Diceros bicornis minor: one gene and its partner. The protein of the gene in region 1 binds, or shares a complex with, the protein of each later gene. Links are inferred from orthologs where the notes say so. Each region holds a gene or a part of one and is shown in the gene's direction. Other genes may lie near its edges. The genes, in order: F10 and ASPH.

The links.
Region 2: the proteins of F10 (region 1) and ASPH are in contact, whole or in part, in a crystal structure (PDB 6Q9F), measured with the Homo sapiens proteins. The link is inferred for Diceros bicornis minor from reciprocal best matches to the Homo sapiens genes F10 and ASPH. Residues at the interface, in NP_000495.1 of Homo sapiens: Asn97, Gln98, Lys100, Cys101, Lys102, Asp103, Gly104, Leu105, Gly106, Glu107, Tyr108, Thr109, Cys110, Thr111, Leu113, Glu114, Gly115, Phe116; in NP_004309.2 of Homo sapiens: Ala389, Glu390, Arg393, Ser394, Asn395, Leu398, Gln431, Phe432, Leu433, Gly434, Met436, Arg437, Val462, Leu465, Leu466, Ile467, Gly468, His493, Phe496, Ala500, Arg526, Phe529, His530, Arg562, Ser563, Leu564, Tyr565, Asp616, Glu617, Leu619.

What each region holds. Positions count from the first base shown.
Region 1 is NC_080748.1:86,878,091-86,893,784, forward strand, and holds the start of F10 (coagulation factor X), read left to right. Parts: upstream 1-9,396; coding exon 9,397-9,511; intron 9,512-11,084; coding exon 11,085-11,243; intron 11,244-11,351; coding exon 11,352-11,426; intron 11,427-12,433; coding exon 12,434-12,494; intron 12,495-14,430; coding exon 14,431-14,767; intron 14,768-14,800; exon of another isoform or gene 14,801-14,806; intron 14,807-14,897; exon of another isoform or gene 14,898-15,694. Other genes in the region: F7 (coagulation factor VII), read left to right, coding at 528-552, 631-744, 2,736-2,876, 4,091-4,200, 6,403-6,526, 7,166-7,761. UniProt on the Homo sapiens protein: Factor Xa is a vitamin K-dependent glycoprotein that converts prothrombin to thrombin in the presence of factor Va, calcium and phospholipid during blood clotting.
Region 2 is NC_080772.1:14,717,141-14,732,605, reverse strand, and holds the start of ASPH (aspartyl/asparaginyl beta-hydroxylase), read left to right. Parts: upstream 1-7,688; 5' UTR 7,689-7,900; coding exon 7,901-8,012; intron 8,013-15,465.

The sequences.
Region 1 (15,694 bases):
TTCAACAGTTCTCGTCTTCTTTTATTGTCACAGCAACCCTGCGAGCTTTAGGTCAGTTGGCAAAAGATTCCTCAGGAATCATTTTTATTGCTGGAGCCCCCTGCAGTTCCTAGAATGCCTTTGCGTGCATCACCTACCTTCTCCTCGTGTCGACTGTGTGTCTGGAGGAGAGAATGGAGGCTCAGAGCACATGAGTCTCATCTGGGTTCACAGCTCGGAGGTGGCAGAGTTGGGGCTAAAACTTGAGTATTCTGACTTGGGGGAGGGAAATTTGTGACCGCTGGTGGCCTTAGTGATCAGGGTGGAGGAGGTGGGGGAAGTGGGGATTAGGAAAACACTTCTTCCCCCTACACGAACACACCTTATCTCCAGAGGAAAAATCTGGTTCCCAGAGCCCATCACAAAAGGCCCAGGTCAGAAGCCCAGCCCACCACAACCCACCAGGTCATCAGTTCATTCGGGGGATACCGTAAATATTTGCTTCTGGTGAACGTGTGCCTCACGCGGCTTCCTCTTTGTTCCCTCAGAAGCAGTTCTGGATTTCTTACAAAGGTGAGTAGGTAAACAGTCCATTTTGATCCCACCCACCAGCCCTCCTCCTCAGCCTACTAACACTGACTCCCTCCACAGATGGGGACCAATGCTCCTCAAATCCATGCCAGAATGGAGGCTCTTGCGAGGACCAGCTGCAGTCCTATATCTGCTTCTGCCTCGAAGATTTTGAGGGCCGGAACTGTGAGACAAGTGAGGACTCCCATAGCTTGCAGACAGGGCCCCCAGGAGGCTGATGGGCATGGCCTGGTTGGGCGTAGGGCTGGGCCTCAGTAGAAAGTTGGTCTCAGTAACCTTGAAGGCCCTTGCCAACCTGAGAGTCTTGGATCTGGGGTTCTAAGGTACTAATTCTCAAACTTGATTGTGCCGTGTTCCCTTCTGGGAAATAGAAAGCCCTTGGGCTTCCAGCACTGGGAAATTCTGATGCACCTGGATAGGGCCCAGGTGAGAGGCCCTCCACCACTGCCCAGCTGCCTCATATCCCACCAGCCAAGACGGTTGGCTAGACTTTACCTTCCCTACTTGCTATTACAAAGGTATGCAATATTTTTCTCACCTTCCAAATACTAAAGTATTGCAAAGGTCAGGGGTCCCCCAGACCACGTTCAGGTTCAGTAATCTGTTGGAAGGGCTCACAGAACTCACTGAAAGCTGATATACCCCAGTTACAGTTGATCACAGCAGAAGAAAGGAGACTAACTCAGCAAAGGCACCAGATGCGAGCTTCCAGTTGTCCTCAGCCAGGGGAGTCATGGGGACAGTCCTTCATTCTCTGAAAGACCACTGTCTTAGGCGACAAGTGACAGAGATATGTCAACAGAGTATTACCAACCCAGGAAGCACACCTGAACCTCGGTGTCCAGAGGTAGACATGGCTGACCATGCACGTGGCTGACCTCAGTCTCCAGCCCCTCCAAGGGCAAGCTGATACCGTGGCCCAAGGACACACATGAGTCACATTGTTAGACCATTCAGTGTGGCCCAAGGCCCCAGGAAAACAACACTCTTATCAGGCAGATTAAATTAAAAGTGTCCAACTTAATCAGAGAGGGTGTACAGCTCACGTCCCAGGACCTGAGGGCAAAGGCCAGGCCTCTCTTTGGGCAAGGTTAACCCTTTACCACACAAGTGCACATGTGATACAGAAGGAGCTTTCCTGGGCCACAGCTGCCTTCTGCTCTCAGCAGAACAGAGGCCAGAAGAGTGAAGCAAAAACTAAGGAAAGAGGCTTCCTGACAGTTCTGGGCCTGGAACGCCTCAATGTCTTTGCCTGGCCTTCAGTGCTCAGCAGTCCCGCTGTGAATTCACTCCCAGGGCCATTGACACTCAGCAGTCCTGGTGTGAATTCACTCCCAGGGCCATTGACACTCAGCAGTCCTGGTGTGAATTCACTCCCAGGGCCATTGACACTCAGCAGTCCTGGTGTGAATTCACTCCCAGGGCCATTGACACTCAGCAGTCCTGGTGTGAATTCACTCCCAGGGCCTTTGACACTCAGCAGTCCTGGTGTGAATTCACTCCCAGGGCCATTGACACTCAGCAGTCCTGGTGTGAATTCACTCCCAGGGCCATTGACACTCAGCAGTCCTGGTGTGAATTCACTCCCAGGGCCATTGACACTCAGCAGTCCCGCTGTGAATTCACTCCCAGGACCTTTGACGGTCAGCAGTCATGGTGTGAATTCACTCCCAGGATTGGCCTTCCCAGTGGGGGTCCTGGACTTACACAGGACACCAATCCCGTTTCCCACATCAAAGCGCTCTCCTTTAGAGTTAAGTCAAACGTTCCTTGTCTCTGCCTGCCCGAACCAGTGGTCAGCCCCAGGCCAGCTCACTGGGACACCAGGGCCTGGCTGTAAAACAGTCTCATCTCTCTGGCCTCTTGCTGGCAAGTGTCCCATTAAGTTGTCCCCAGGGGACTTCTGCTTTCCCCAGCTCCCAGAAGGGGTGACACTGCATGCCAGCCCTGCATCCCCCACTGGCTAGGCTGGGACCCCCCTAACTCCAGGTCCTCCCTTCTGGATCAATCTGCAGAGTGAGGTGGTGCCAGGCTCAGTCTCTGTAGCAGGCAGCTGAGCGCCGTCTTTGTGCAGAACGCTGCTCCGGCCCAGGGAGGGGTGGCCACCAGGGCTGGCTTTCCCTGACCAGTGGAGGCCCTCTCAGGCTGTCCCCTTCTGTCCTCAGACAAGAACGACCAGCTGATCTGCATGAACGACAATGGGGGCTGTGAGCAGTACTGCACCGATCACGCAGGGGCCAGGCGCTCCTGCTGGTGCCACGAGGGGTACGAGCTCCAGGCCGACGGAGTGTCCTGCGCATCTACAGGTAATGGGTCCTCAGGGACCAGGCTCCAGGGTCTGTGTGCTGTTTCATTTTTAGACGACCAGTCCCCAGTTCCTGCCCGACACAAGTTCTCTTATTGGCTAAAAGATGAGAATGGGGGCATACTATTCACTGAGCATCTCCCGGTGTGGACCACTCCATGCTCAGTGAGGCAGGGAGGAGACTGAGAGTGGAGGTGGCCGCCCCCCTGAGAGCGGGCCCAGGCAACAGCAGGCAGGACAGAGCCCTGGGAGCGGCTCCCTGGACAGGCCTCAGGCCACCTGCCCATTCTAGGCGGGCCCAGAGGAGCAGAAGGAGGCTTTCCCCGCCCCACTCCCAGCACGCAGATTCTGACGGGAGTCCACACTGCCACACCAGGGTCTGCACTGACTGCAGCACAATACTGGGTTATGAATCTTTTGTCGAGGCCAGCACTTTTAGGAAAATGGAAAATTTTCCAACTTCAAACTAACAGGCTGCAACTTCAAACTAACAGGGCTGCAATTCCAAAGGCTGGGGCACCCCAAGCCCTCTGTCTCTTCACACAGAAGAGATGTGCCCAGCCCAGTCTAAGGAGCCTGAAATTCAGCTGCCTCCACTGGATGCCTTCCCTTCTGGCCCAGAGACTTCACTGGAGCAAACCAGCAACCAAGGGTGGGACCAAAGAAGCAGCACGGCGGTCTGAGATGCTGGCTGTCCTTTAGACAGAACACCCTTCACCTTTTAGTAAATTCAAGCAGCACATCTTTTTTTTTTTTTTTTGAAATTGGCCCTGAGCTAACATCTGTTGCCAATCTTCCTCTTTTTCTTTTTTCTCCCCAAAGCCCCAGTACATAGTTGTATATCCTAGTTGTACGTCCTTCTAGCTCTTCTATATGGGACGCCGCCACAGCATGGCTTGATGAGCAGTGAGTAAGTCTGCGCCCAGGATCCGAACCAGCAAACCCTGGGCCACCAAAGTGGAGCGCACAAACTCAACTGCTACGCCACTGGGCCGGCCCCTAAGCACATCTTTTTTTCCTGGAAAAACTAGCAGTTTCAAGAAGTAGGGCCCTCTGCTCCTGAAAAGCCAGCCGCTGGCACATCTGCCCACTGGCAGCTCCCACAGCCTGGGTTTGGGGCCAGAGGCAGAGCTGCCCACAGGCCTCATGCCCTCTTCTCACTTGCACGGTCATCCATCATGATTCCCCACAACTTGCTGACGTTGTTTTATACAGTTGAATATCCGTGTGGAAAAATACCTGTTCTGGAAAAAAGAAATGACAGCGAACCTGAAGGCCGAATTGTGGGCGGCAAGGTGTGCCCCAAAGGGCAGTGTCCCTGGCAGGTAAGGCTTCAGGGCCCTCGAAGGGAAAGGGTGGGTCAATCACAGCACGCCCCGGTCGGAGCCACCCTGCTCATGCCGTGCTGGCGTGGATTTCCCCCTGATTCTAAGTCCACTTCTGCTTGTCCACAACACATCTGCATTTAGCTGGGATTTTGCTGCTCCAGCTCACCCTCTCCCCTCACTACCTCATCACGCACACTCCCCTCTTACAGATGAGGAAACTGAGGCCACACACACAATAAATGGCAGAGGCAGGATTTGAACCCAGCTCGGTCACCTCCAAAGCTGCATCTACTACTTGCCTCTGGGAGCTGAGATTCTTGATCCGTGCCAAAATCCTCCTGCGGTCGGGGAGGCTGTCCCCCTCACGGGGTCAGGTCTGTGGGGGCATGGCCCTTCCAGGGCGTCTCTCTGTGAAACCGGCTGTGAGCCAGGTTCCTATTGGAAATGCCAATTCTCAGGCCCCCAGACCCACAGGGTCAGAATCGCCATTTCAGGAGAGCCCGGGGGTGTGTGCCCACATGTGATACAAGCTGCAAACTCAGGTCTGAGCCCGACTCAGTGGCCCTCCTTTAACTCCTCATTCGGAGACACTCCAACTTAAACAGTTAAGAATTTTTAGAAATACAAGTAAATGTACAAGAACCTTGAGACTGGAGAGTCAGCGATCACGCTGGGCTGACCCTGGGCTCCGGGTAGCTCCAGTCTCTTGTTTGGCGGCCATCTGGCCCCTTCCAGACCAGTCTCAGAAGCTGCATTTCTTGCTGAGCTGGTGGTGCTGCACCCACCCAGCCTCCCCCTGCCCCACCCCACCTCCCACAGTGGTCAGGGCAGGCGGCTGGGGCCTGGAGGGGCCTTCATGGTCCAGGGAGAACCCCAGCTGGTGTTGAGAGGAATAATCTGAGCTAGACACATCCAAATGGGGCTGATGTGTTCACCAGAGTCCCCGTAATGGGCCGGCAAGGCCTCTGTGAGGTAGAGGCGGGTTGGCGAACATGGGTTTCTGTGCATTTACGGTGGGAGTTCTTAGGTGGGCTCGCTGGGGGTGATTGCAGCAGATACTGCTTCCCAGCACGTGCTCCCTGGACCCAGCCCACCAAGACCTCACCTCTCAGTATCATTTAACCCCCACGACCCTGCCTGAGAGGTGGGTGCAACTCTTGCCCCATTTTTCAGGTGAGGAAACTGAGGCCCCATGAGGTTCAGTGCCTTGCCCAGTCAGAGCTGAGATCCGGTCCCGGGAGGCACAGATCCAGGTTGTAACAACCACCCCAGACTGCCCGCCTCTCCAAGCTGCAGCTACAGAGTCACTGTCAGCCAGGCAGGGTTAGATTTCCCGGCACCGGGCAGCGACTGTGGCTCTGATCCGCAGGCGGCTGTTCACCGTCGTGGGGTTTTACTGTGCTTTCTTCTCTGAGGGGTCAGAGTTGCCAGTCTGGATGAGGAGAGGGGTACCTCCCTGACCCCTTTTGTCCTGCTGTCCACAACTCGGGGCGTTGGGCCCCAGCTTGGCTGACCCACGTCCAGTCTCCTCCCTGGTTGATCCGACCTCAGCACGACACATGCTGACTGGCGACAACCAGACCAGGACCATTTACTGGCCGGTCCGCCTCCCCCTCAGCCAGGCCGCCCTCTGGCCTTGCAATTCCTCGCTGTCCGCAGATGGCCTGGATGGAGACTTGGGCTCCTTTCCCATCCACCCTGGGAGAATCACTGCAGGGAAAACGTCACCACCCAGGATTCACTCGGGGCCCCGCTCAGCACCCCCTTTGCTTTTAGGAAGAAGAGAAGAGGAAGCATTTACTGCGGGTCACCTGGGTGCCGAGAACAGGCTCAGTGCTTCATCAGTTACTCCATTCACTCCTCACATGCTCGAGGAGCACGACCTTGGCCTGACCTTTGCAAGTCAGGCATGTTAGGTCACACTTGGGTGACAGTACTAGGAGATGCACAGAGGAATCGAGCCCCCACATTTCCATCGTCAAGCCCGTGCCCGCAGCTTCCCTTCCCTTAGCGAGGTGGGGAGACGGCCTGCTGGGGAGGAGTCGGAGCAGCTTTGCCCAGGAAGGGCTCTGGGGAGCCCCCAGGATTTCAGAAACAATCCTGTCAATGCAGCCTCCCCTAAGGGTGCATGGGAAAGGTGAGTCCCCAAGGAAGGGTGACTATGATGTGACCTTCCAACACCTGTTGTGCCCTTGTCAGGCTCTGCTGAAGCTGAACGGGCTGCTGCTGTGTGGGGGCACCCTGCTCGACACCACCTGGGTGGTCTCCGCAGCCCACTGTTTCGACAGAATCAGGAGCTGGAAGAACCTGACAGCAGTGCTGGGTAGGTCTGCGCTCACCTCCTTCTGACGAGGGAAGGTCCTTCCAAGAGAACCACCCGGGGCTACGCTTCGGGGCCTCGAACTACCGACTTCCGACTTCCATGACCAGACGAGCTTCTCTGAAAGAGAAGTGGGCAGTGCCTGGGCAGACTCCACTGCCTGCGGGTCCCACCACAGCCCCCGTCCCTCAGCCTCTTTCCTACCCCAAATAAAGACATGGGGGTGACGCTATACCTGCCCATCTTGCGTAGGCCAGGTGCTCCATCCACCCAAAGGGGGATGCAGCCATACAGGGCTCCGTGGCCACGGCGGGCTGGCCTCCCCCTGGTGGGTTTACGGGACAAGGACCCCCGGGGGAGGCCAGGCCCCATCTGGAAGAACTGGGGGAGTCGGGCACCCGCTCGTTACCCACCCACAGCTGTCTGGCCCAACCCCCCCTCCTCACGTGCCTTCAGCGCCCCAGGTTCCAGAGTCACCACTGACTCACACTCTGCACGGAACCCAACGGCGGCCACTTGTGAGGCTGCTCAGGCCACCTTGGGGCTGGACGCAGGGCCTCTCCTGCCCTAAAGGAGGCTCCGGGAAGGGCGGTTCCTGAGGCTGCAGGGCGAGGGCCGTGAGTGGTGCTGGTCTCCCCGCAGGTGAGCACGACCTCAGCAAGGAGGACGGCGACGAGCAGGAGCGGCAAGTGGTTCAGATCATCGTCCCCGACAAGTACGTCCCGCGCAAGACGGACCACGACCTGGCCTTGCTGCGCCTGCAGAGCCCCGTGACCTTCACCGACCACGTGGTGCCCCTCTGTCTGCCCGAGAAGGCCTTCTCCGAGAGGACGCTGGCCTCCATTCGCTTCTCTTCCGTCAGCGGCTGGGGCCAGCTCCTCGAAAGGGGCGCCACGGCCCTGGAGCTCATGGCCATTGACGTGCCCAGGCTGAGGACTCAGGACTGCCTGGAGCAGTCTCGCAGGACGGCGGGCTCCCCGGAGTTGACGGAGAACATGTTCTGCGCCGGCTACCTGGATGGGACACAGGACGCCTGCAAGGGTGACAGTGGGGGCCCACATGCCACCGAGTTCCGGGGCACTCGGTACCTGACGGGTGTCGTCAGCTGGGGGGAGGGCTGTGCAGCCGCAGGCCACTTTGGGGTATACACCAGGGTCTCCCAGTACACGGAGTGGCTGCACAGGCTCATGCTCTCGGAGCTGCACTCTGAAGGCCTCCTCCGGGCCCCACTCCCCTAGGCTCACAGTCAGCTCCTGGAAATAAACCTGCTGCCACGGGGTTGTCCTGGCGTCAGAGCCCGTAAATTCTTCTACAGCTCTTGGGGTGGGGAGGGGAGAGGGAGGGAGAGAGAGAAGGAGACAGAGAGAGACAGGCAAGGAGAGAGACCCCCAGAGAAAGAGAGCAGAAGAATGAGGAATTCGGAGAGACTGAGAGATGGAGAGGAGAGGGGAGAGAATGGAGGAGAGAGAGAAACTGAGGGGCGAGAGAGACTCAGAGACTCCAGGAGACGGACTGAGACGAGAGACACAGGAGAGTGGGCAAGGGAGACAGGAGACGGTGCCAGGGTCACAGAGAAGTGACTGCGCACGCCTGCGCGTTTCTGCTGCATCTCGTCACCGACATGACAGAGGTGTGCACAAGTGTATTCACAGTGATGTGTGCTACTGCCTGAGGGCTGTCTGTTAACTTTCATCTTTTTCTCTCTTATACGAGTATTTCATCATCCTTTCAGATAAATTGGAAGCATCATCCATTCACTTTGGTGGATATCCTTCCAGATCTTTCTATATGTGGATCTTTTTGTGTGTGTGTGAGGAAGATTGGCCATGAGCTAACGTCTGTGCCCATCTTCCTCTATTTTGTATGTGGGACGCCACCACAGCACGGCTTGATGAGCGGTGTGTAGGTCTGCACCAGGGATCTAAACTTGTGAACCCCAGGCTGCCGAAGCAGAGCGCACAATCTTAACCACTACGCCACCAGGTCGGCCCTTATATGTGGATCTTTTACCATAAAATGGAAAGTGCTCATGCTCTACGTACCGTCTGCCACCTTTTCTCCCCACTATCAGCAAACAAACAGCTGACTCTCCTCAGAGCATTCTTTCCCGCTGCTCGCCATTCACGGATAGTCTATAATTCATGTCATTGAGACCCTGATGTCTATCATCGAGCTGTTCTTTTCTTTCACGATTACCGACACACTGACATGAACCTTCTTACATGGAGCCTGGTTTTTATTTATTTATTTTTTTTGTGAGGAGGACCAGCCCTGAGCTAACATCCAATGCCAATCCTCCTCTTTTTTGCTGAGGAAGACTGGCCCTGGGCTAACATCTGTGCCCATCTTCCTCTACTTTACATGGGATGCTGCCACAGCACGGCTTAACAAGCAGTGCATCGGTGCGCACCCGGGATCCAAACTGGCGAACCCCAGGCCACTGCAGTGGAGCGCGAGCACTTAACCACTTGCGCCACCAGGCCAGCCCCTGGAGCCTGGTTTTTGAAACTGAGAGCTCTCTGAAGGATTTTGTGGGTTTTTTTTTTTTTTTGAGGAAGATTGGCCCTGAGCTAACATCTGTTGCCAGTCTTCTTCTTGTTCTTTTTTCCCCCAAAGCCCCAGTACATAGTTGTATATCCTAGGTGTAGGTCCTCCTAGTTCTTCTATATGGGACGCTGCCTCAGCATGGCTTGATGAGTGGTGGGTAGGTCCTCACCCAGAATCCGAACCAGTGAACCCCGGGCCACCAAAGTGGAATGCGCAAACTTAACCACTATGCCACTGGGTGGGCCCCTCTCTGAAGGATTTTGGAGGCTGTAGTTCCCAAACCCTACAGAACTGGGTGTTCTTTTCCTGCAAGGCCCTAGTCGATGATGGTCCTCAAAGAGAGCCCTGGGGAACACCGGCCTGAGAACCACCAGGGGTGCTCCACAAAATTCAGGCTCCCAGGTCCTGCCCAGAGCAGCGGGATCCAGGGGAGGAGACCCAGTGAGTCACCTTTTTATCAAGTCCCACAGGCGATTGTGGGGCCCGATAGGCCTCAGGTGGGGAAGCAAATGATCAGAGGAGGGAAGCAGACATAAAAGTGGGCCCTGCCTGAACTTGGTGAAGGTGGATAGAGCAGACCCAGCAGGCCCCCCTCTCCCCCAGGACACACCCGGGGGATGGCAACTGGCCTGTCCTGTGCCTGGAACACCAACGGTGTGTAACACCTGTAAGTTAGGGAGCCAGGACTCGCTCTGGTGAACAATCAGCCATAATTTAGTTCAGAGTAGACCAGGGGCCGGGGCTGAGTCCAAGACACCTGTTTTCATAAATAAAGTTTTATTGGGACACTCCCATTCCTTTATACATCATCCATGCTTAAAACCGCAGTGCTGAGTAGTTGGGACAGAGACTGTCTGGCCAACAAGACCATCTGACCCACAGACCTACCGTATTCACACTCTGGGCCTTTACAGACGAGGTTTGCTCCCTGGCCAGGCTGTGTCTGTCAGGATGTCACCACGCCATCGGGCATGCGCTTAGGAGATCCGACATTAGACCAGGCCTCCTGGGTCAAGAGTGGCCCTGCCTCTTGCTCTTGGCCAAGCCGCTCACCCTCTTTCTCTGTGCCTTGTCTCCTCATGTATGGGCACCGAGGGAGCCCGCCTTGGTGCTTGTCATGAGGATGAAATCAGTGCCCGTAAAATGAGACTCCTGGGAGGACTCAATCACATCGTCACGGACGGTGAAGCCGATTGGCAACCATCTGGATGTCCTCTGGCTCCCCGCTCAGGCTGCAGGAACTGAGGGGAAATTCTGCAGCCAAAATGCACCAGGTCTCTGGAGGCCCTGAGCCCACCAAATCTCTTGTTTCTTCCAGAAAATGAAAGCTGGCTGGACTCCTCTTCCTGAGAAGAAGAGGGGAGGAGGGAGCTGAAGGGGCCGGTCCAGGAGCCCCCAGACCCACATGGGGTAACGAGGTCCTGGGTGGGTCACGGGCTCTGCCTCAGTTTCCCCGGCTGTCACAGAGCTGCAGTGAGCTCGGTGCCGGGGATGTCAGGACCACCCCTGAAGGCTAACACACTCGATGAGCAGATATATTCACATCCCATCAGGGCTCATCTCCATTTTCCGTGAGTGGCTCCAGGCGCTGGGCCAGGGAGGGGCTCACACAGAACCCCGTCTCCCCCATGTGCTGACCGTGCCTAGAGACAGTATTGCAGCACAAAGAGACCAGGTGAGACGGGCCCAGGGCACCGACTGCGGGTCGTCCCCAAGGACCGGGCTCTGCATGTCACTGTGACCACCCAGTGAAAGGCCAGCCCTAGCCTCTCGCGCTGAGCAGGATCATTTCGGGACATCACCGATTCATTCAGTCCTTTGGTGATTACTGAGCACCTACTGTGTGCCAGACACCCCTCTGGGTGCTGGAGACAGAGCAGCAAACAAGCCAGACACAAGAGGCTTGTATCCAAAGGACCACGGGCGTCGGCTGACCCATCATGACGTGGAATGGTGCTTGGTGCCGTGGAATACAGTGCAGTCTACCTCTCTCTCTCTGGCTCTCTCGGCACAGCCCCGGCCTCGCCAGCCAGTTCTCAGGCCTTCTCCTCCAGAGCCTGGAGTCCGGCTGCAGAGACCCCGGTCAGCGGAGGGCTCAAGGCCGCGTCCCCACGCCTGACGCTTGGAGAGGCTCTGGCTGGGCGAGTGACCGGGTACCTGGTGTGCACCCGCTGTGTGCACACCTCCCTCCCTCCCAACCGCCCCACTGAGGGGGCGAGCTGCTTTCGGTGCACAGACCTGAGGTGACCCGCCTTCCCTGGCGCCTGTCATCTGTCACAAGGTGATGCAGCCCCTAGTTCTGGGATCTTCCCGGATGAGAGCCTGGCACGGGAGACTCCCGAATTCTGTGGAGCTGGTGAGTGCTGAGCAGGTGTCCTCCATCCTTCCTGTCCCTCCAGGAGGGACTGAGGACAGGCCCAGGGTGGGGCTGGCCCAGGAAGCCACCTCGGTTCCCCCCCGCCCCCGGGCACCGCGCAGCCCTCCACCTTCTCTCCCTGCTGACCTGTATCAAGTCTCATGTAAGTGAGCAACGGACTTCACCGTGAGACCTCCGGCATTTCAGGGCTCATTTCCCCCGCCCCCACCCAGCCCCCAGTAGGGTATGGGCAAAGCCGTTGTCGGGGAATCTGGGCCCCGACACCTGCGGGCATTTCCGTGGCTTTGTTGTGGGGCAGAGAGAGGCAGGTCCAGCTGCTCCTCATGGGACAGCCCCTCTCGACTTCGGGCCAAGTTGCCCTGCTGTCGACAGATCACATGGCGGTTCCGGCAGAGCAGTTCCCTCCAGGCGCCGGGCAGGGGGTGCTCCTCCCAGAAGCCTGCGCGCAAGGAGCCGTGTGGCACAGAGGCTCTCAGACATGCTCTGCCTCCCGGAGCCCCTGAATTTTGGGGTGGGGGAACAAGACTGACACGGAGGTGAAGCACAGGACACTCTGTGACAGAGGCCCTTTGCAGGGTGCCACCTGATACACCTGCAAAGAGGCCCATGAGCAGGACTGGTCCAGGCCAAGGGGAAGCAGGACCCGGGGCAGCGAGTCCCGGGTTCAAACCCCATGTGCACCACACACGGCCTGGGAAATGCTTCACCTCTCTCTCAACCTCGGCCTTCTGTTCTGGAGAAAATACGGGGAAATGATTCTCAGCTTTTATCAATGTTATAAGGATGAAATGAGAGCTAGACACCAACGTCTGAAGACTCTAAAATGACACTGTTATTCTCTTAGACCAAAAAGTTCCTCTGTCCAAAGCAGGCCCCACTGGACACAGTTACTAATGAGGATGAGGTTCAGCCAGGACCTCTCCAGGACTGCACAGGCCAGAGTGACCATGTCCTCAGCACGGTCACCTGCCCCTGTACCCCCCCAGCAGGCCCAGGCTCCAATCAGGAGGCTGTGATAAGCAGAAGGACAACCGGCCACGAGCCAGGGTAAGTGAACCTTGCCCCAGGGACAGAGACACTGTCCTCGGCCACACCATGGCGGGCCCACTGTGCCTCGTCCTGCTCAGTGCCTCCCTGGCTGGCCTCTTGCTGCCGGGAGGAAGCGGTAAGCGCCCCTCACCCTGCAGACTGTAGAGGTGGCCCCCAGGGAGGAGAAGGGAGGGTAGGGGGTCAGGGTGATGCCCTCGAACCTCCACAATGTGGATAGTGGGTGTCTGTCCCCTGTGGAAGGCTGGCGTTAGACGGCTGGGCTTGGCAGTTTCAGCCAAGGGTAGCTTAGGGCCAGTGTGCCTCCCTGTGGATGGAGAGTCAGATGGTGGGTCAAAGGTCACAAAGACAGAGAGGAACATGGACAGGGAGAGAGAGAGACAGACAGAGAGAGAAATAGAGAAGGACAGAGAGAGAGAGACTCAGACAGAGAGGGAAGGAGATGGAGGAAGAGGGAGAGAAGGGGGAGGTGGGAGGAGAGACAGAGAGATACCCCCCTCCACTCTCTAAGTGAGCTGGGTGGGAGCGAGGGGGTCACAGGCAGAGAGGAGCTTCTATGGCAGGGGAGAGAATGAAAGAGAAGCCGGTGCCACCACCCTCAGGCTGGCTCGGCCAGGGGAAGGGGCTGCCCAATGTGTGGCTGGACAGAGGGGGGCCCCTGGGCCTTCCAGGACTCCGGGGCCTGTCCAAAGAGAAGAAGCCAGACGGGAGAAGCAGAGCAAAGCCAGAGGAGAGAGCAGAGGTGGCAATACCTCTGGGGCTGAGGAGACCCTGAGGCTTGTTTGCATCCTGGATCAAGTGGAAGGACGGGAGCACTCAGGAGCAAACAAGGGGGACTCAGGTGTGTGGGAGACAAGAGAGCAGTGAAAAGTGAAAAAGAGAGAAAGAAAAATAGAACAGAAGAGACCCACGTGGGGAAGGATGGAGGGGAGAAATCCACCTCTGGGCTGTATTTCAAAGCAAGCGCTTGGTAGTGGAGCAGATATTTGGAGTAATGGGGGAGGGCCCACAAATAACAAGTTTGAGCCTGGTGTTGTTAGGATAATATTGATGTCACTAAAAGAAATGGAGAATTTGGAAGTGAAAGTAATTTGAGGTAGGAATGAAGCTAACCTTTATTGAGCACCTAGTGTGTACCACACTGAACACTAGGAGTTGTATACACTGTTTAAAACAACTCTAAGAAGTAGGTATTGTCATTCCCACTTGCCAATATTAAGCAGTAGGTGACCAAGGTGTATTTGAAATTCAGGACTGTTTGATTCTGCAGTCCTGTTTTTCAGTTTCAGACATGAGAGTTTGGCGTTCTGAGATCAGGGGACACATCCATCACCATGAGGGAGTCGAAAACCTAGAGCTCAGGGTGAAAGTTGGGACTAGAAATATCAACTTGGAGAGTCGTCTTTATTATGGGGATACTCTAAATTCTTCAGTGGAAAAAGGTAGAGAAATAAGCACAGAGGGCCAAGAAAAGAATCCCAGGGCCTCCGGTATCACAACGCAAAGAGGAAAAGGAATGGGTGAGAGAGAGGACAGGCAAAGAGGTGGGCACGACGCAGCTGTAGGTCCACACACAGGGACGGTCCAGAGAATCTTGGATCCAAGACATTTTAATTGGCAGCTCATGACTCCTTTGTGAGTCATGGCACCAATTTAGTGGGTTTTAAAAAATGAAATAGAACAGGATCAAGTACAGATTCTGTAATAAGTACTATTTTGTAGAAAACAGTAGTAAGTACTATTTCTTGAAACTTTTGCTTTATGTGTATGTTCCTGGGACTTGATACAAACCATACTTTTAATGGTAGATGATCAAAACAGTATCACGACTCCCCACCCACTTAACTCAGAGCTGAGACCTCGAGGGGCGGGTGGGGCTCGGGGCGGGGGGTGCAGCGGCCGGGAGGCGACAGTGACCCGGAAGCACTCTGAGAAGGGCCAGTTCAAGACAGGACGTGGGTCGGGCGCGGGGCGGCTGGCGGGAGGCTGACTCCCCCGGAGAAGGTGCGTGCGGCCCACCCCACCGAGAACCGCCAGGCACGGGCGTCCTGGGCAGCACCCCGCGGGGACTCGGGAGGGAGGCGGGCGCCCCCCAGCCGCCCCGTCTTGCAGTGTTCCTGAGCCGGGAGCGCGCGCACGGCCTCCTGGCCCGCGTCCGCAGGGCCAACTCGTTCCTGGAGGAGCTGAAGAGAGGGAACCTCGAGAGAGAGTGCATGGAGGAGAGCTGCACCTTCGAGGAGGCCCGGGAGGTCTTCGAGGACGCCGAGAGGACGGTAGGGGCCGGGGTGGGGCCGCGCAGGCGGCCCATGGGGGCGGGAGGCTGACCCGGGCCACGCAGGGCCCTCCGGGCGTGGGCCGACGGCAGTGGCCGGCCCGGGAACTTCCGAGGGCCTTGCTCAGTAGATTCTGAAACATGAAACGTTTGCGAAAAAGACTGTCCACGCCCGGCCCCCGCCTCCCCGGGCGGGCCGCGCACAGCACGTGGGCCGTCGGGCCTCTGCCCGCAGCCCCGGCCGCCGCCATATTCGACGGCGGGCACTGGGGCGCCGCCCTCAGAGCGCGCGGCGCGCAGGGCCACAATGGACACCGGGCGGCGAGGCCCAGCACGGCGCCTGCGCAGCGGCGGCGGCGCGTGGAAAGCGCCCGCCCCGGAAGAGGCGGGGCCTCGGACGCTGCCCCGGAAGTCGCCGGCGGGCCTCGTGCACCTGGGGTCCGGATCCGGGAAAGACGGCCGCGAGGAAGGGGCGGGGCGGGAGTGGACGCGGCGAGCCGGCGCCCGCGGAGCGAGCTGAGGAGGCTGAAAGCGGAGAAGAAAGTAGCCAAGAAGGAGGCCAGGCGGGGGCTCGGCCAGGCCGCCGCCCCGCTGACGGGGACCCGCGCCCACGCTGCGGGAGCCCGCCGGCCGACGGCTCCTCCAGGGCGGCAACGAGCTCGTGTTCCGTGCCCTTCGGGACGGGTGGTGGGTTGCGAGTGGTGGCCAAGTCAAGGAAGTTTAAGTCAGGAGAAGAGCTGAGTCACGTCCGTGGCAGACTGCCTCCGGGAGACGGGATTGGCGTTCAGGAGAACCCTGGAAAAGCCAGGAAGGTGCGCTGAGCAGCGTCCTCACGCTGCTGTCCCCTGATTACACGTGCCACCTCATCCTCGCTTTGACTTGGAAGAAGAGGAGACACAGTATCACGGGAGATACTTGGACTCGAGCC
Region 2 (15,465 bases), on another chromosome or scaffold:
TCCCGTCAAAACTAGCTCTCAAGAGAAAGATCTTGATAATAAAAGATAAAGCCCTGATTATATTGTCATAGCTATATTGCAAACTGCCCAAATCTGAAAAATTGCAGGGAAAGAACCCAAAAGCATGTGTTACCTTATTAGCAAATGTCCAAATATAGGGTGTGGATCCAAGGAGAGGAAGCACCAGCTTCAAAAGGAAGGAGGACACAATGAGGGCATTCTCTGGTTACCAGGCAGCCAGCAAAGTTCCCCTAAGTGTTACAGGAAGCACCACTCCCCATTCTTCCAAAGCTTCCAGATCACCCCGGAGGGGAGGATGCAGAGAGGCAGGTGGAGAAGAGAGAGGCCTTGGACACCAAGATTCCTAACCACAGCGGGGAAGAAGGGGCTCCGCGGGCTGCAGAGGTGGAGCTGGCTCTCTATACTCCTGTGGCTCTGCTCCCTGTTACCTTAGAAGAAAGAGATGGATGGTGGCAGCCCAAAGACACACAGACAAAGGCATGGACCTCTGGAAACCTTCTTTACAGTTTTTCTAACTATATTGGGGCTCTCTGAGTGGGATGAGTGGGAGATAAGGAAGTAAGCAAATGGTGGGGAAGGGGTCGGACGCCGTGTGGGAAGCCATCCATCAGTTACTGTCACAGGACTGATTACATGCAATGTGGGGGAGATGCCACTTCTCTCTCCTGGTTACTGCTCCAGCTTTTGGCCATCCAGAAAACAACTGAAGAGTGTTCAGAGCAGCCAAGAATTGTGGCCTTCGGGAATTGTAATTCTTTTAGAGCAGGAAATCTTTTCGAGAATGTATCACAAAGGGTTGTTCTATTAGCCACCAATCACCCAAGGGCCAGCCTACTAGGCATAAGGCCCTGTGGTAAGTGTTGAGACAGGGAACGGGAGGGGTAACATGAAGTTCTTTCCCCAACTATCTTAAAATCTGATTACAACCTGCTGTTGGCAGCAACTGCAACACTCCTCCATCCACTCCTGCCAAAATAACTGAGAAGAGGGACACCCGGCCTGGAGGGAGGGCTTCTGAGGTGATGGTTGTGCTTGCCTTGGGGTCAGCAGTGGGCTCCAGAGAGATGGATTCGGCCAGTCATGCTCCTCCTGCAAGCCTTGTACCATTGTCTCTTGGGAAGATCTCCCCATCCCCCACTCCCAAAAGTTAATGTTTTTTGGCAAGTCTCTCTGGCAGGGTGCCTTAGTTATTTGCAGAGTTGTTATCTGTAGGATCAGAGCCAGGGGCAGGCCAAGTTTTTGCCAGTCATGCTGAATTTGCCATCCTTCCACCTTCACAACGTGCATTTTTCCTGGGAGTCCTAAGTGTGGGGCTAGGATGAAGGAGGGCTTTCTGTTGATTGGTGGGATTCTTCCCAACAACTCAGGACTTCTCTCTTGCTTTCTAAACCTCAGCCATGGAAAGCATTTTAGCTCTGAGTCCACAGTGTCCCCCAGGCTGAAAATATCTAGGCTTGCATTGTTGACAGGCTAGGGAGTAAGGGTTGGGGGGTAAGGGAACAGCAGGCAACCACACTCTGAATGCTCCCCTTTCCCTTTGTGCCCAACATGTGTACCAGAGTGAACCAAGGTCGCCACCATGAGCAGCTTCAAAGGTGGAAAGTAATTAGAGAAGAGCAGAAGGCGAAGGGGCAGAGGATCTCACACATCCTTCCTTGATGCTTTGAGGCAAAGGATGAGTGAGGGGCACATCACAGTGCCTGGTGCACTGTGGTCACCCCTCCTCTATAACTGCCTGTGTTATAGGTCATACTGCATACACAAGTAGGAATCACACTTGAGCGAGCATAATTCAGTGAGTGTTGTTGCTTATGAGATCTGCTCCTTCTGAGAACCTGAATTTGAGTCTAATGAGTCTGGTTATAGTATATCTTTAATACTTGAAGTGATCCTTTTATTTATTTATTTATTTATTTTGTGAGGAAGATTAGCCCTGAGCTGACATCCATTGCCAATCCTCCACTTTTTGCTGAGGAAGATTGGCCCTGGGCTAACATCCGTGCCCATCTTCCTCCACTTTATATGCGGGACGCCTGCCATAGCATGGCTTGACAAGCGGAGCACAGGTCCACGCCCGGGATCCAAACCTGTGAACCCTGGGCCACTGAGGCAGAGTGTGTGAACCCAACCACTATGCCACCCAGCTGGCTCCTTGAAGTGATCCTTTTAATTTGAGACTTGACTCTCTTTTTTTAAGGATTCACTGAAAATCTGAAATGACAATATACAATAACCTATGTGGATTTACCAAATTCTTAATGTACAGGCACACAGGTCCAACCAACTATAAATAATACTGAGCACAATTCTGGTGTTACAGCTAACCTCTCCTAACTTGGAAATAGAAAGAAAAAAAGACGCAGGCAAACCCAGCTAATAGGACAATGGGATATTTTTTCCATCCTAGTTCTATGTCATTCACAGATTCTCCTCTCTGTCTCATGCTGGTCTGACTTGGAAGTCACATCACTATTTTGAGGCTCTCATTCTGATTGTAGAGATCTGTCAGTTTATTTGTTTACAACTAGTCAGATTTCACGTTTTGTAGGCATTAGTTAAATGTAGTTCTCTGCCTCAGGCTACCTGAGTGATGACTTCACAGATTCATACAATGGGTCCCTCTCTTCCTCTGCTTGCTTTCTAATTTCTCACTTGAGCTATTCATGGCTGCCCACAGTTGTGTGATGGGATAAATCCTAAATGGGCTATCCTTACCTATTTTTAGGAACATAATTAAAATTTTAGGTTGTGTGCTACTTGAAAAAATCTCTCTTATGTCAAAAAGTCATTGATTTTATATATTTTTGGCATTACTATCAAATATAAGCCCTTACCTTACAAATATAAGCAGCTTCCCGGTGGCTTAATGGCTAACCATTTAATACCTGTGCAGAGAGTGCTCCTCAAGAAATTTCAGCTCATGAGGTACTGTAGGGCTTGGGGCTAAACTGAGAGGGTAACAAGAGTCTTGTGACCCTCTGGACTGTCTGGCAAAAGCATTCCCCAGGCAGAGGAACGGCAAGCACAAAGAGCCTGAGCTGAAACGTTTATGTAACAGCTTCTCTGCCCGATCTCACCGAGGATATGTAGATGAGGAAGTCGGCAGGCCTCACCCTGCTCTGTAGCCTGCAGGTAGTTTCCTAAATATTGTTTGTGACTTAGTTTATTTTCATATAAGCCTAAGCACGCTATCAAGCTGTTCACATTTGATTTCAATTTTCTCAAATTCGGGAAAGAGAATTTTTTTTAAAAAAACAATCCCTTGGGATACGTCTAAACAGTTAAAACTTGTGCACTTAGGTTTTTACACAATGGCTTCTCCAAGGATACCTTTTGGAAGCTGCATTCCTCAACTCTTCTTTTGTGTTGGAGACAGAAACACTAAGTGCAATATGGATGCCATAAAAAGTAGAGAAAATAGAACCATATAATTTGTGAGACAGCTGCTTGGAAATGATTTCCACTAAGTTTTACTAAATTAACATGCTTTCTGGTGCTGGGAGGAGCAGCTTCAGTGAACATCTAGGGTACTGGTCTCTGTCTCTAAGTCAAAGGGATCTGCCAACAGAGAAACGAATTCCTCAAGTGATGGAGTCAGCATGGTAGCAGTTTCATGAAGAATCACAAAATATTCAGGACTGTTAGTTAATAGCCACAATATAATGCTAAAGAATTTATTAAAGTAATGAATATTGTACTTCTTAAGTAAAGAAATACAGTAGATTTCAAATAGATTAGTAGTGGTCTTTAGATTAATAAAATCTTGTTGCAATGATACAAAGAGACCCTCCCTATTTTTCTTACTAGTGAGTTCTTTGGCAAAGTCCATTAGGATTTATTTTTTTGTATGGGCTCAGCAATGTTTATCATGTGCTTATGAAATTGCAGATTCATATCAGAAAGATGACGGTATAAAAAGGGCTGAGTTAATACTGATTTTATGTAAGGTATGCATGATTTCCCATAAACATTCAAGGATTTAAGTTGACTAATTGATTCAGTTTTGCATATTGAATAACACTATACGTTGGATGTAATGAAATTGGAGGATCCTAGAAACTAGTTGCAGGATACTTTTCTTTGGATCAGGGAACTGTTTCCATCTAAGGAGCATGGTTCTCATGAAAGACATAGAAATAATTACTTTAGTTATAGATACACACACTCATTAGATCCTTGAGGCAAATATAGCTTAAGTAAAATTATCTTGCAAACAAATTGAATCCTTGAGATTTCACCACATTTTTCTCTTTTCTTGATTTCTCCATTACTTTCTTAAGACTCCTAAATCACATTAACATTTCCTTTTATATACCACAGAATTGTCATTGTCTATAATCAGTTGTTATTCTCTGATTATTTGACTTTCTTTTCATGTTTAAGCTTCTTTGTGGGATTAAGTTTGAGATTTAAGAAGAATCAATTCTATCAATTCCCTATACTAGGAAACAAGACTAGTAATAGTCATTACTTAAATGCTATTTATTAGGAAGGGAATTTGGCACTATGAAGTATCAATCCTGATAGAAAAATGCAAAGAATTGAAAAGAAGAAATAAATTATAGGTTTCTTAGCTAATATGTTTTCAGATTATTTTTCCATATTACAACACAGTATTTCTAATTCTAATCTATTTTTGACTAGATTTAAAATTACTTCTGCTGATATAAATTCATTCTATATATTTATAATGTAGATACCTGCCAGGCTTATTTGTTCTTTGGTAATATAAAGTCAAGCTGTTTGATGAAAATGACAGTTCATTTACTTGTTGAGATATAACTCATATGGGAATAATTGCTTTGAGAACACTTTGAGTACAGAATGCCTTAAAAGTCCTCTTGTACTTACCAATAAAACCTTCATTGCAACGAATTCTACTAATGTAAAATGAAAACATACAATTGAATCATGACCAGTTGAAATTCATTTTTTCCACTATGGCAGAATTTACCACGGTAAGTAAAGATGAGGAAATACTCATTTTTAGTTTGCAATAATAAAACTTCACATTAAGAGGACTGCATACAGATGAGAGCCACTTTCTAGGAAGCACATTAAAATGCAACTTTAAAACAGTGTTCTCATAGGTATAAGTCAGTCCAGAAATATCTAATTTGGAAAGCATTTGACTGGAGGCTGTGAAGGGTCAACACGAGAAAAAAACTCACAAAAACTAGGACAAATCTTGTCCTCAAGTTCTCACTTGCAAGTCCCAGTGAAGCCAATGGAAAGTTTATGGAAATATCTGAAAGGCACATTTGGCCTAGTTCAAAAGCTCTATTAAATTAGTACTTTAATACGTTGTCCTAGTTAAGTCTTGTCTTTATGGCCCTTTTAACATTGCTTCACCCAGAGTTCATTCATAGCTTACTCAGAAATCACAGAAACGAGGATAGGCTAACAAGCGATAGTTGACCTTCTATTCAGTTTCAAAGATACTTTGACTCCCTAACCTCCCCCACTTCAATGCTGAGAAAAAGACCTATGTGAAGAAATTGATGGATCCAAGGCAAGCTTTGTGGTTTTTAATGCTCATACAGTGGGAAGCACAAACAGATGTAAAATGTATAATACCAATACTTAGCTTGGGGGAATTCAGTCCCCGAAACTAAACTGTATATACAACCGACAGTATCCGATGTTATACATTTTATCTTATAATACTGAGTCTATAAATGTTATTGCAGGCGTTTCCTTGTGGTACAAGGAGGAAGTCAGGTAACCTTTAACTTCCTGTGATCTGTATTTACAAAGCCTCTATTTTGGCCTGGTACTGTCTAAGATTACAGCAGTGTACCTTGTCAATGGTACCAGATTTGGTTTCTGGAAGTGCAGGAGCAAAGCATCACTTCAACATTTTGGAGTCAGTCATCAATGAACCTTGATTTCCTCAAAGAGGTGGACTTTTCTAAGCACCCAGCAACAGATTTCAGATAGATACCTTTGCAGGTAGGACCAAGGAGGCTTCAGGGAAACATCTGCTAAGAGAAGTGGGAGCCAGGTGAGACATTGTCTGCTCAAAACTAATCCTTGTCCTGGAAGGAAAATTTGGACCATAGACTCTGGAGCCAGATGGACTAAGTTAATATCCCTGCTCTATCACTTACTAGCTCTGTGACCTCTTTGTTTAACCTCTCCGGGCCTCAGTTACCTGACAATTACAGGGTTTTGTGAGAATAAGAACTCAAATATCTTGACCATTGTTTTTCTCAGCTTAACTCTCATTTTATTTTATATTAAGTACTATCACTGGATTTGTCTCTCAGCCCAGCTCCCCCTCTCCCCCCTCATTGAAATAATGTAATGGGCCTGGGTGGACCAAAGGATGTGTGGAGGCAGAAGGAGATGCCATAAGGTAAAAACAAAGGGCTGCTTCAGTAAAAACTCTGTGAACTGCCCTGCCCCTGCTCCACCTTGGTAACTATTTAACACTACTTCATAAAAAGGAAAGACAGGCCTTCTCCTCATTATGCAACACAACCCTAGGTGGGCTTCTGTGTGTCACTCGGCAGTTTCCAGCGGGATCCAGCCATTCGCAGCAGAAGAGGCTGGTGGGCCTGGGGACCTGTCAATGAGTGGTGGCAGAAGAGGAGTAAAACCAGATGCCACACTGCAACCACGCTCTCTGGTTCCTGAGCCTCCTTGAGACAGTCCCAGGAGGTGCTCCAAAACATGCTCAAGAATTAGGAGAAAGTCTTAAGGATTTGTCAGAAATGTACCAAACCACCACACTTCCTGCTTGTTTGTTACACACCAGGTATTGTGCCGGCAATTGGTGACACAAAGATGACAATGACATCTGTGACTTCAAGTCCCTGTCTGGTTTACCCATAAGCCCAGATATTTTTAAGACAATATGAGGAATTCAGAGGTAGCTCAGGCCCATGCACTGTGTGACTGCAGAAGAGGGGACCCATGGTTGGGGATATCAACGAAAGATGACTGTTAGGCGTTAGCCCAGCGCAGGGAGATTTCAGATAGAGGGTGCCATCCAAGACAAAAAAATGAACTTTTTGTTTCACATTTACATTTGCATCTGTTTAACTAAGATTCTCTGAAAATATTAATTCAACAAACAAAATGAAGTTCTGCTTTAAAACCGAACCTATCCAACACGTATGGCTTAAGCACTGAACTACCCCTAATATCACCATTTCAGAATGTCTTAATATTAATACTGGCAAGAACCACCTCTCTTTCTCAAGAAGCTGGGTTGCATTGCTTGGGGTCTGTATGCACATGGAAGTGGAAGCTAAACACAAGTCCCAGTGAAAGGCCAAGAGGCGGCACGCTCCGCCCGGACACCGCACACGTGCCCGCCGGCCCCGCCTCCGCACCCCGCCCCGTCCCGATCGTGCGGGGTCCGCCAATGCTCGCGAGAGCCACCTCGGCTTCCACGTTTGCCACGTTCCAAAGGATCAGGACAGACTGGAAAGACGAAAGCTGCCCGCGCTCACAGGCCACTGCGTCGCGCCAGCACAGCCTTAAGTCTGCAGGGGGCGGGGAAGCGCGGCAGGGTTTCGCCCCCTCATAGCCGCCTTTGTGATTGGCTACACTTCCCGTCACTCAAGCTTCCGGGCAGGGAGGAGGCGGGGCTCAGCCGGGAAGGGGCGTGGCCGAGGGCTGGCAAGCCGCGCGCTCTCGCCGCGGGAGGGAGTCACAGGTTCGGCGCACGCACGGCCGGGCGCGCGCAGCCGGCACGCGGGTGAAAGTCCTCGGAGGCGCGGCCGGCGGTGCCGAGCCACAGCGGCAGCTGCAGGAGCCGCGGCCCGCACCCGCTGCAGCGCTCGCCCGCCGTCAGCGGCCCCCGCGCCCCCGGTGTCCCCCGCGCACTGAGGGGGCCCCCCACCCCTCGCCTGCTCCGGCGGTGCGCGCAATGGCCCCACGCAAGAATGCGAAGGGCGGCGGCGGCAACAGCAGCAGCAGCGGCTCCGGCAGCCCGAGCGCCGGCACCAGCGGCGGCAGCAGCAGCCCCGGGGCACGGAGAGGTCAGAGGCGCTCCGCGGCGGGGGTCGGGGGCGGCCGTAGGGGTGGGGCCCGGGCGGCGGGGGCCGTGGCTCCGTCTCTGCAGCTCCCGCGGCGCGTCTCTTCCATCCTCCGCGTCGCGCCTGCTTTTGGCGCGGGGCGGAGGCCGTGCTCGGTGGGCCTGGCGGGCGGGCTGGAGCGGCTCCGCGGGCTCGGGGGGTCGCGCCGGGGAGCCCCTTCCCGCTGATCCCTCACCTGCAGGGCGCAGCCTAGATGGAAGTTATGGATAGACTCCGTCTTGGCTTTCCGTGGACTTGAAGATGAGAGTAGGAGAAACAATTTACCTTTGCCTTGCATAATTTGGGGAGTTTGGCAATGAGCCAAAGTCGAAGTAAATAAGTTCTTGCCAAACCGGCAGCCTTTAAGAGCAACTCGAAGTGTGATATTCTCAGGGGGGTGTGGGGGTGTGTAGGGGTGTGTGCGGGGAGTGATTTGAATGTTCTTGGAAATGATTTTAAGTATTTTTGCATTTATGTAGCTTTCTTAAAGGGCATTGTTGTTACCTTTAAAATATTACAGAATACTTTAGAATACTGGGCCAGCTTCTCTGTTGTTTTTCCCATTGTCTTTTTTTAAAAAAGTCTTTTGGATGTTCACCTTTCTCCTCCATGTGCTTACCCAGCAAAGACAGAGAACAGATGTTTTAAATCTGTTTCATCTCATATTTCAGTGGTTCTCTGTTTCTTTTATATTTCCTTTGACTCATAGTTAGGATATTGAAACTAACTGCAGGACACATGTGTATTGAATGTGAGCTGTAGACTTTCCTTGTTGAAATGATTTAGACTCTTTTTGTGTCCTGTGGTCTACATGTAATGTATTCATATATATCAAGAAGATAAATCAGATAACTATAGTCATACTTCACAGGACTTATTTTTTTTTTACAGCCTTTCTCACTACCTGAAATTATTTATTTTCGTTTGCAGTGTCTTCCTGTCTTACTCCCTCCTCTTGTTCATTCCTATCCCCAACTCCTAGAATGGTCCTGGCCTTTAATAGGTGCTCAATATATATTTGAATAAATTTATGTGGTGAAAGTAGTGCAAAGTCACCACACAAATTTACATTCTAAGAACTAACATTTGTATGGTAAATGGAAAAAGATACACACAGTTTGAAATTCAAAGCAAGCATATTAATTCACCTTCGACAATAAGTAAAAGTTTATGTTCTTTTGTCCCTTGTCCTTAAATGCCAGTCCGTTACTTAAACAGGCTGAAGAGTAGATGAGCTGTCACAGGCGGCTCCAGCTACACTTCTTAAAATTTAGAGATGAGAAGAGCCCATTGTGCCAGTTAAGTTCCAAGCAGAGAAAGCGGATGAACAAGACTTTAATGTTAATTGCTTTTTACAGTTTTCTGCACTCTTTACAAATGAAGCACATCTTTGTTCCATTTTATCCTTTGGGCTCATGAGTAGAGAGGACTGATTGCATCTGAGGAAGTCGCTTTGTATGGCCTGTTATTGGTAAAAATTAGTATTGGGAAATACGTATTGTGTTCCCACCCCTACTGGATCAATAAGTGAACCAGTTTTAACAGGCAAGTAATAAATTCAGGAAATGTTATGACCTAAATGAACATATTCTGACTTTCACATTCAGGCATTTTAGAGCAAGCTCTGTCCATATTTGAAGATCTACAGCCTTTTAAGCATTTTATACATTGATTCCATAATTATCATGAAACAGACATAGTATCTAAAGAGAAAAGTATCTCTTTTACAAAAAAAAAACACATTTAAAGAATATTGGAGTCTCGCATGTTACATAATGAGTAATCTTTTTCCATAGCCATTTTTTTCAGTAAATATTGACCTCTGGTTGTGTGCCAGGTAGAAGGCACAGGAGATGGAAACAAGGATTCTTTCAGTCATAAACAGTTATACCGCAGAGTGAAAGTGTGATTCTATTTATATTGTTTTCTTATAGCAGGATATACCTGAAAGATAAAACCAACTTCTCTGTTGTTGCAGTGGCACTGAAGTATAGACATTGATGCCCAAACCATTCCCATCTGCTGGGGAAATCATAGAAACTGAAGAAATTTTAGCAATGGCATTACTGTGAGGCCCCTTCAGTTCCCTCCTCTCATCTTATAGATGAGGGAATTATTGCCCAGAAAGGTTGTCTAGTTCATTAAAGGTTGTGTAGTTCTTGGAAACCCAACTAGTTAGTGGAAGATCCAAGACTAGAACCCATGTTTTCTGTAATTCATTCATTATACTACTACTTGGATTTTAGGTTCTCTAATTTGTAAGATTTTAATGGAATCTTGCAGTTAAAGTAGATTGTCTCTTAAGTTTCCTTCTGGATCTCTCTGTGGCATGCTACAACTAGTTAATTAGGAAAAGTGTGCTTTCGTCATATAACCAATTAAATTTTCCATCATCCTTGATGATGACATTGGTCACATTAAACATTATTATTTCTTAAATTTTTGTATAAAAGTATGGGGGAAAATGGACGCTATTCTTTGAAGCATGCATTTTAGAGAAACGGTGATTATCTGGCCTTCTGTTTGTCTTGGTGGTCACATTGTGTTGAAAAGTGATGTTTGGAAACTGGAATTTTGGGGATTTATATAACATTTGGAATTTTAAGTCTGTCTGCTTTTCTTTTAACTCTTCAACTAAAACTGAAAAATGATAAAATGTCTAGTTTCCTACAGAGCTCAATTTTACCTTTGTCAGTTTTATTCTTCATAACATAAAAGAAACAGAAGTAAATTGGACATCTTACTTGTAACTTGCATGTAAAAATTTGACTTGCATGGCCAATTGGGGTCAGAGGAAACCTCTTTCAGATTTATTGATTTGAAAATCTTTGGTTAAGAAGGATTACGATGTCCTTTTGGGCTTATTTTGTAGTACACAGACACTGGTATGTGTCATGTTTTTGTTTGCTTCGCTTTTCCCTTTTGAGTATCATTCATTCTTTCCCTGTAGCTTCTAGCATGCTACAGTGGTGTAAACATCTGACTCTTTATTTTGTCTAGTAGTGTCGTGCTACTACGTTCCTCTTTACCGGTAGGTGTCACTGTAGAACACTTTCTTCCTTCTATTTGAAGCTTCAGACTGTGTAACATCAATTGTTTTATTTTGTTTAATCAGTCCTGTACATACTCAAAACTATAGTGGGCGACCGCTTAAACACTCTTATCCACTGCTGTTTAATTCTCTCAAAGTCTCTCACAGCAGATTTTGAAATTTAGTAGTAAGAGTTTGTCCCTACCAGCCTATTTTTTTAGGCTTAATTTAGAATTAAATTTAGAATTAAATGCATTCGTATACTATTTGTAAAACTTAACATGTTCACAAATTCATTTGATGGATATTAATCATTTAGAATTTTTTTTTCTCTTTCTACTTTTCAGTATCTTTTAGACCACTCAGTAACTAATGGATACAGTACACTGCTGATTACATTCTGGATCCCTTGAATGAAGAGGGCTTGGTGAGATTTTCTTTCTTTAGCCAGAGGCTATCAGTTAGGGCCAGTTGCTTAATCCTCCATTAGTCAACGTAGGATGAAAAGATAGGAAGGCTATCATTCTTCCACTATAAGAACTGTGTGATATTTTGTGTTCAGTTGAACAGCATTTTGTCAGCCTGGCTATATCATATAAAACCAACTCCTAAAAAATGTTCTGAGAGTATTCTTGAACACATTTTAAAAAGACCAAGCGTATTAACCCGTGTTGGGCTTAGGAAATAAAAGAAAAGATCTATATTTTAGTCTGTCTTTAACATTATATGTCTCCAAGGATTATTAGAAAATGAGAGGTTTTCATTTTCAGCTAATTACCAGCAGAGTAACTCAGAGTAATAGAGATAAAGGCTCTTGTGGGTTCTCCTCCCTATTTTCAGTTAGTCTCAGAAATTGAACCTCTGAGCTCTCTGGTCCCAATAGAATAAACCTTTTTTCCTCCAGAAAGGTAGTGTAGTTTGGGAGAGTCTGATGACCTGGATTCATATCCATTCAAGAACCTTGTGGCAAGCCATTCAAAATCTCTAATCCTAGTCTCTTCAAATGGGAAAAAGTGTTCTCTCCTTTTCTTTCAGAGTTGTGATAGCTCTAAAACCAATTTTGAATCCCTTCGTGTTTCTCAGAGGCTTTCACTAAATTACTTCTGATGGTAAGGGTGAGTACCAGACTTCGGAGGATGTAAGGTATAGAGCTAAGCAGGCCATTGCATGCTTGAAACTTTTTGATGATACATTGTAAAAAAAGAATCATTTTTTGTTATATTCTGTGGCATCTATGTTTTAAGTAAAATGGATGTTCTAGAGGTGGTGTTTATACTGTGGCTTTGAGAACCATTTGACAGGTCTTTCTGCCTCTGGTGGTGTACATACCCCGTTGACACATCAACCTTCAAGTTGCTGATTTACCCTTGAGGTCTGGTAACATTGTTCTATTTTACCAGAGCTCAGATACATTTTAGTCTTTTGATGCTGTTCCAGCATACTGTTTTAATATGAAAATATGCAACTTAGTTTTGTCTTAGATACTTCTGCAACTCCTGAGTGGTTTGACTTCATTCTGTACCAAGATAAAAAATATTTTTTTTGAATTAACTTCCCTTAAATAAAATCTGTATGTACTTAGAACCCATCTACAGCTTACCCAAATCTCTGGAGAAAGCCTCAGCCACCTGCCGGGATATGTGGGGTTGCTGTGGCTCACTCCTAAGTTTCAGTATCTGCTGCCCAGCATCTGCTCAGCGCCACACACATGGGTGTACGTCTATCTGGGTGGACACGTGTCTGGTTCGGTCCTACAGTTTTGGCCATTTCTATTAGAGGACTCGAGATTAGGATGTTCATTTCCTCCTCCTCTTCTTCCAAAGTGCCACTGTAGGGGGATATTCTGGAGTCCAGTGCTTTCACCTTTTCACTTTCTTCTGGCAGTGCTGGGAGCCAAGATGGTATTTTCTTGTTAGTCATTATTAATTTTTTTCAAATTTTCCTTACTTTATTTCCTGCAATGAAGGTGCTTCATGCGTTTGGTCTGCATTTGATATTCGTTTTCAGGGATGTGTCTTGGTTACCTTTGGCTGATATAGTTATCTTTTAATGGCAGATCACTGAATGTAATTTAGTTCTGATCAGATTGATGACACCTGAGGACAGATTTACTTTAGATAACCTATTAAACTCAAAGGAAATTTGAGCTCACTTGGTGAATAAATCTTTTAAAAAATAGTCACATAAGATCTTTTGAAGGATCTGTATTGTTCTGTGACCCCCTGTGAGATCCAGGTGGCTTACCTGGTTGTTCTGACTGTAGTAGGACTGTCATCATCTGCCATAGATGCCCTTTGTGCTCTAATGTGGATAGGGTAGTGAGTTAAATGGGGCCGGGGTGGTGGGGGAGGGGTATCCACAGCGAGCAGAGTGGAACCACTATTGCTGTACTTGGAGAAATGCCAGCGCTTCTCTCCCACGTGTGTGCCTGCAGATGTAACCCAGTGACTCGTTCTGAATGGATGCCAGCGAGCATCCTTGTTAATTTTAAAGTGAGAGAATGTTGTTTGATAAAATAATTTTATTCCATAACTAATATTGTATAACTGCCTCTTCTCATATTTTATATGTTTGGCAGCCTTTTCTACCATAGTGCAGACTCACTGCTGTTCTGTTGTTCTGTCTCTAACTTCTGTTTCTTGTTTATTATATCACTGATATACACAATTACCTCCCCTTCCCATCTTTCACACTCTTTTTAATCTGAGTTTTCCTGAAATGGTATATTGGAAATCCTTTTTGGTCTTAGGTTCACATGTAAATTTTATTTAGGAGCTGTTAATTTTTTTTCTTGCATGAAAATAAAAATCTGTGTTGCAAATGTTTGTTGAAAGAATATCTAGCTCTTAACTTGACTTTTCCATTCTTGAATGAATCAAATCATTTTGAATAAGATGCTTGTCACTTACTGAGTTTTATAAATGAATCAAATCATTTTGAATAAGATGCTTGTCACTTACTGAGTTTTATAAATTATGTCATGCTTTTTGACATGTGAACCATCTCTCTAATTTCTAGAACACAATATGTGCTGCTCTGTTTGAAATATTACGTACTTAAGACTATAAATATATAGTGAATGCAGTGAATGCCCGTGTATCTACTGTACAGGTGAGGAAATAAAATGTTACCAGATTCTCGGTTTCTCCTTTCCTGTGTTATCCCTTCCCAGCCACTCGTACATATTTTGTGATAATCATTCTCATGCATTTCTTTATAATATATAATATATATACACCCACAAATAATATATAATGTTATGTTGCATATTATATATTACATATCCATTCATGTAAAAATGTATGTAATGTTAAAAGCAACATATATGAAAACTGCTTAGGAAGTATGTGTATATCCCTATATATAGAAATATATATATTCTTGTTTAGCACAGATTACAAGTTTTGTGAATAGGCTCATACTTGGCATAGTAGTTTGACACCATTTGTTTGAGATTCCACCAAACTCTGGCTCTTTATTTTCATTTATATAGTTCCTCACTCGTATGAATGTGCCCCTTTTTGTTTACCCACCTTACTGTCGGAGACCACTTGGTTTGTTTTGTTTTTTTCCTTCAAACACTGCTGCCCTGAACACTCTTGTACCTGTCTGTCCCCTTGTGTACGTGTCTAAGAGTTTTTCTAGAGCTTAATTTAGGATTGGAATTGTTGGGTCAGAACAAATACACATATTAAACTTGACTGGATATTGCCATTTTTTTTAACCCCAAAGTGGTGGTATCAGTTGACACTCCCACCCACAATGAGTGCAGCTCCTCTCGTGCTGCAACCACATTGCCAACACTTGGTAAGGTTTGATATTTGCAAGTTTGGTGGGTGTGAAATAGTACTTTGTGGTTTAAACTTCCGTTTTCCTGATCGCCAGTGAGATTACTAGTAAGAGTTGACCTTTGTGTTGCCTTTTCTATGAATTACTTGTTCATATAGTTTGCCTATTTCTGATTTTTTTTGTTTTGTGTTTTTAGGTTTGATTTGTAGAATTTTTTTCTATATCTTGAACCTTTTGATTATTTGTGTGGTGAAGGAATTCTCCTAGTTTGTGAGTATTCACATGGTCATTTTCTGTGGTATATTTTGTTGAATAAAATTTTAAGATTTTAATATATTAGCAGTAGAATTTTCCTCTTTTCCAATTTATGGTTTGTGCTTTATTTAAGACATCCTTTCTAACACAGAGATCATAAAACATTTTCTATTTTCTTCTGAAATATCTTAAATTTTGCCTTTTCTCATTTAGATGTCTAAACCACTGGACGTAGATTTTATTGTATATATTGTGAGGTAGGGATTTAATTCAATATTTTAAAAAAATGGATAATGAAAATTTCCTGTACCCTTAATTGAAGTGTCTTCCTTCTACACTAAT